2 linked regions of the Kluyveromyces lactis genome follow. The protein of the gene in region 1 purifies or fractionates together with the protein of each later gene. This does not show direct contact. Links are inferred from orthologs where the notes say so. Each region holds a gene or a part of one and is shown on either strand. Other genes may lie near its edges. The genes, in order: SEC28 and RET3.

What was found.
Region 2: the proteins of SEC28 (region 1) and RET3 purify together in Saccharomyces cerevisiae (affinity purification with mass spectrometry, with the first as the bait; 3 studies listed by BioGRID). This does not show direct contact. The link is inferred for Kluyveromyces lactis from reciprocal best matches to the Saccharomyces cerevisiae genes SEC28 and RET3.

What each region holds. Positions count from the first base shown.
Region 1 is NC_006039.1:798,504-801,518, forward strand, and holds SEC28 (coatomer subunit epsilon), read left to right. Parts: upstream 1-1,316; coding exon 1,317-2,198; downstream 2,199-3,015. Other genes in the region: ARE2 (sterol acyltransferase), read right to left, coding at 1-706; GET complex subunit GET2, read left to right, coding at 2,509-3,015. UniProt on the Saccharomyces cerevisiae protein: The coatomer is a cytosolic protein complex that binds to dilysine motifs and reversibly associates with Golgi non-clathrin-coated vesicles, which further mediate biosynthetic protein transport from the ER, via the Golgi up to the trans Golgi network.
Region 2 is NC_006042.1:2,525,004-2,527,690, forward strand, and holds RET3 (coatomer subunit zeta), read left to right. Parts: upstream 1-1,329; coding exon 1,330-1,899; downstream 1,900-2,687. Other genes in the region: TAF3 (Taf3p), read right to left, coding at 1-671; RQC2 (Rqc2p), read right to left, coding at 2,142-2,687. UniProt on the Saccharomyces cerevisiae protein: The coatomer is a cytosolic protein complex that binds to dilysine motifs and reversibly associates with Golgi non-clathrin-coated vesicles, which further mediate biosynthetic protein transport from the ER, via the Golgi up to the trans Golgi network.

The sequences.
Region 1 (3,015 bases):
GTATGACGAATGCAAAATAACTAGTCAGGTACATTGCGATATCATATAACGCAACTTTCCAAAGATTCATGGTCATGTATCGCAAGATAATTGACTGTGAAAAATCACCATGTTCCTCGTAATATTGTAATGTCACTTTGCAGATGGTGAACGCAACTGCCATCCAAAATAAGACATAGAATCCAGAAAAGTCTGTTGCTATAGTTTCATTTGCAATTTCAATAGTATTATTGTCATCTATCCTCACCGTATTTGATCTGGCTGTTGCCTTTACTCTAGAATATTTCTCGTCTATTGCTGGCCCATTGAAATGAGATCTAAGCGGATTGTTGACCATCTCATCCATGATACTACCTCTAGAGCCCCAGTCTACATCTCGTGTCATGGACTGCATTTCATTCGTATCCTTCTTATATCTGTTCTTTTCCTTCACCTTCAATTTCTGCATGAAAACATGCAGATGTTTGTCGCCTTGTTCGGAGGTGGTTCTAGTCTTAAAGATAACCGTGTCGTTAGGCTGGACCGTGTTGAAAAGAACGTCCGGAGATCCAAGTTCATCGAGAACAGCATCCTCCAACTGTTCCTCATGCAAAGACTTCCTCTTCCCATGGTTGTTGTCGTTCAGCCTTCTTATCCTCAAGAACTGCTCATCCTCAGTTATATCCTTAACGGTGGTATCATGTGAACTGTCACTTGAACCGGACATTATGACAGGTTTTTAATTAAAGATCCAGTTAAATAAATCTTTTATGATATATTAACGTGGATTGACTCTTCACCATGAAATTAGTCTGAGATAAATCTAGGCCAAGTCGTGATTCGTCTTAAGAAGGAAAAAATTCTTGCTAACCTCTCTCTCTCACTCAGACGTTTTAAATATAAATCTCAAATCCGGAATTAACCAATGGTCGTAAGAAGTGTACTGTTAATTACTGAATCTGTTTCCTTTTCCAACCCGTATCGTTTAAACGTCCAAAGTAACTGGCTCTGAATTTCTTCTGATAAATACTCTCAATCCCTTAAATAAACGCCATATGGTGATCCACACCTTCGAGAATTATTCGAGAAAGGAAAAATACAAAAAAAAAGATCACGTGAATGAAAAACATCCATTACCCTGATCCTGTCAGTTTTTCAGTTTTGGACAATTCGCATGGTGGATCAAAGTAAGATAGCATATGGACTCTCAATATTAAAGGATACGTGTGAGATAGACCCGTTAATGAGCCAGTAAAGTCGCTTTCAATACACGATAACGGTTAATTGAAGTTTTCCGACGTCAGATTTGTTGAGAAAAAAATATCAACTCAGAAGAAATGGACTATTTTACTGTAAAACAGCAGTTTTATACTGGTAACTATGAAGAAGCGTTGAACGAAGTTTCTAAGTTTAACAAAACTGAAGATGAGGCGTTGACTTACTACAGAAATAGATCATTGATTGCATTGTCCCAGTTCAGTGAGGGTAGTGCTGATTCTGGCTCACTTGGGCCTGTATTTGAGGCTTACTATAAATTTTTAAGCAAACCTACAGGCTCAATCACTGCACTAGAACAAACCGTTGAAAAGGCGGGCAGATCTCCATTTGCATTGAACTTATTAGCAAGTGCATTGACTATAAAGGGCGAGTTTAAAACTGCTTTGGAGGTTGCCGTTGAAGGAATTGACTCCGATGAAACAAGAGGAACCCCGGAACTACTGTTAACGGCCATCCAAATAACTTTGTTGGATAATCAACCAACCATTGCCTCGACTATGTTTGAAAATTTCCAAGCACTTCAGGAGCAATCGAACGACGATGAAATAATTTTGAATCTTGCAGAGTCATACATCAACTTCAACCAGGGTAAAGAGATCACTGGATCCAATTTCTATTTCTTTGAAGAGTTGTCTCAAACTTTCCCAAGTTGGAAGACTCAATTAGGCCTATTGAATTTACACCTCCAACAATCGCATTTGCCTGAATCCAAAGCAATCATCGACCTCTTAGAAAGCGAGTTCTACGATATCAAACAAGAAGCACAAACGTACAAGCCTGATCTACTTGCAAATAAGATTACGTACACCATCTTATCTGGTGGAAATGCAAACGAATTGAGATCGGAATTGCAACAATTGAAACCATCTCACCCACTATGTGTTGCCGACCTTGAAAATAACAAGACTTTCGATCAAATTGTGGCAAAGTACACAGCCTAAATCTATATATATCAAATAGATCTTGAGTAGCAAATAGTATTGGTATTGGCGATACTTTCCGGGTAACATTGTTCTTTTTCCCATCAATTTCGTGGGAACTGTCAAGATAAAGCGGATTGATCAAACATCCTATACAATGTGAAGGGTTAGTTTTGAAACCAGTCACTCGGTATCGTTTTACAAGGCACCTGCGTTGTATTTAGTTCGAATATTCAGGGGAGTTGATCTTCTTATTTTGATTGTCGATCTAATTCTACTTTAGTTTCCCCCGAATTGAGCTGTAATTCACACAGAATTTGGAGTTTACAAGATGGCTACTGAATTGTCTGATGCTGAGAAACGTAAATTGTTGAGGGAAAGAAGGCAACAGAAGTTTTCCAACGGAGGTGCTTCCAGCAGGTTGAACAAGATCACTGGTCAACAGCAGAATAGCTTTTTGTCTTCAACATCTGTTCTTGATGAGCCAAAAGTTACTCCGTCAGGTAACAAGAAATCATCCAATGTGAGTGACGAAGAAGTTGAAAAGTCTACCAAAGAGATTCAAGATTTACTTTCTAGTATTCCCGGTAACAAGGACAATTCTGAAACTGATGCCGCTGAAACGAATCCTGAGGTTGCCCTTTTCCAACAGTTGCTTAAGATGCAACAACAAGGTGGAGGATTCCAAAATGGATCACCAGATGCCAGTACACCGGACCTTTTCAGTTCTTTGCTAAACAACGATACGAATACTACTGCTTCTGCTACACAGATGCTCCCTAATTTTGTTGATGAGAAAGTCTTGAAGTATTACAAGTTCAAAGTGTCCAAATTGAAA
Region 2 (2,687 bases), on another chromosome or scaffold:
TTGGTAATGATAGGTCGACTTCGGCTTAGTTTAGAGTATTTTAATCCAGGAATTGACGGTAACGAAATGAGATCTTGAGGAAGTTTCCCCGACTTCCTCTTCGCAAGTTCTAATTTTTGTGATGTCAACATGAATTGTATCCAGTCATCCATATCCCCGTTGTTTATCATTGCTTCCACCAATTCTGTCTCATCATCTCCATCGTTAGGCTTTTTGTCCGATGTATTCAGCTGGTTGATATACTCCGGAATCATTGACAATGGTTTACTAGTTTTATCACCAACTTTCAACAGGTCTGGACTTGGGGTACTGATAACTCGTGCTTCTGTTGTTGCGGGATCTTGAAGTAACCATCTTTTAAACTGTTGCATACCTTCATCGCCTGCCACGGACGGGTTTTCATCGTAAACATCCAGTAGGTTCATTGGTTTAAATACGCCGATATTGAGCATTCCTTGGGTAATATCTTGAAGGGACACTTCTTCATCTAAATCACGGCGATCCAGAGTAAGTTTCCGTATTTCTTGAATCATCAGTTCTAGATATCTCACATATAAATCAGTAAAAAGATTAACTGTCCCCATTTTGGCTCTATCGAAGCCATGTGCCCTTAAAAGGTGTATCATTGAAATTCGCAGCAGCGAAAAGTAAAAACTTTCATCAGTGGTCATAATTGTGAGGAGCTGAGTAAAGCAATAACACTTTGCTTGCTCAATGCTTAGAGCGTAGAATATACAAAATACTGCAAAGTCTTTGCAATTGGCCGGTATTTAACTTATGATAAATAAATCAAAGTAAATACTGCTTAGTAAATCAATCAGTGTCCTCGAAGCTCAGTACTGGTTGCATTCTGCATCGAACGAACCCCACAATAGACAGTTTTCGTTAATGTATAGTATTTGCATGGCTAACCTACTTATCAGACAGTAAAAGTTACAAGTTCCTTCTGTGTTTTCCATTACCCGGAAACAAATCACGTGATAAGAGATTCGATCAAACACTTGCTGTTTGGCGTTACTGGAGCATAAATCCGTATTCAATGATATCAACAGGCTTTCATTGCCATGGAGCTTTTTACATGGACAGCTTTACAAGACATCCAAAGAAGGCTACTGATTCTAATTACAGGAATGGGCAATGGTTGAGAGCTGAATTCTGCCTCTCTCGAGCGCAGTTCCTATTTGTCCTATATCTTGTCAACTGCAAATTTGGAATTTTCGCGTACCGCCAAACCAGCACTTCCCTCCTGAGACAGTAAACCATTGCATCAGTACTGAATAACACGAATAGCATACCCTGGAAGTAACCAAGAAGAAAAACATAAACAACATGGTTAACTTATCTCTATACACAGTTAAAGCTGTGTTGATTTTGGATGGAGAAGGAAGAAGACTTTACTCGAAATACTTCCATCCACCACACGAAGAAATTTCTGCAGATTCTCTTGCATCCAGCTTAAAGAAGCAAAAAGAGTTCGAATCTAACCTATTTGCTAAAACTCATGGGCAGAATTCAGACATTATGATATCAGACGATCTATTAGTTATTTACAGAGAATATGTCGATGTTTCGATATATCTGATCGGTGCAATCGACGAAAACGAAATTGTTTTGCAAGAAGCATTCAACGGGTTCAAAGATTCCCTAGAATTGATATTGGATACAGGTATTGACAAGAGGAGTGTTCAGGAACATTATGACATGGTGGTTCTAGCAATTGATGAATTGATTGATGATGGTATTATCTTAGAAACTGATCCAGCCACAATTGCCTCTAGAGTGACGAAACCGCCTTCAAAGGATATCCCATTGAATATAGAATTGAATGAAAAGGGTTTGCTAAGCGCGTGGGGCTTTGCCAAGAGTAAATTGGCTGAAAGATTACAGCAGGGCTTGTAAGCTTCTCCTCATTTTCCAGATTTCTTTTATAATCAGACACATATGTTTACCATCGATATGTAAATACTGTGTGAATGTCTTTGCCTCTTCTAATAAAGATGAAACTAAGATAAATATAAATATGAAATACAGTACTTTCACTTTATATGCTAATTAGTTGATTTTAATATGACAGCGTGAAAACTATTCGATTGGTCAAACATATCTCTGAATGATAAGAATTTGCTTGATATTTTTTGTCATCATTTTTTAGACTTCTTACCTTTCGCCATTGATTGCTTTGATTTATGTGATCTGCCTGAGGATGCTTTGTCGTTTCCACCTGGGATGGAAATCTTCAATTTATCAGAACAAATAATAGGAACGACATCCAAAGTTTTGATTAGCTTTATTGTTTCATGTTCTCTTGGCCAATCTAAGTCTTTATCGTACTCCGAACTGTCGACAGTTCTATTCAAGAAGTAATGTAGAGTTTCATTAATAGATTTGCTCTTCTTTGCAGTGCCAGGCTGTATTTTGACTTTATACTTATTTTTAGTTAAAGCAGCCCAGGGGGCATAGACAGGGATAACGTCAGCTATTTTATCATCTTTGGAAATACCGGTTTTCAATTGATTCAAAAATTTTGGAATATCAACTTCGACCTTTTCTGATTTGTTAAACTGCAAGATGCGAGTTTGCTCTTGGTTTTTACGTATCCGCTTTTTAAACTCCCTCTTTTCGGCTCTTTCCATCTCTTCAAGTTTTTTTTGCTTCTCTCTTTCAATACCTTTTAATGTTCCAAGTGC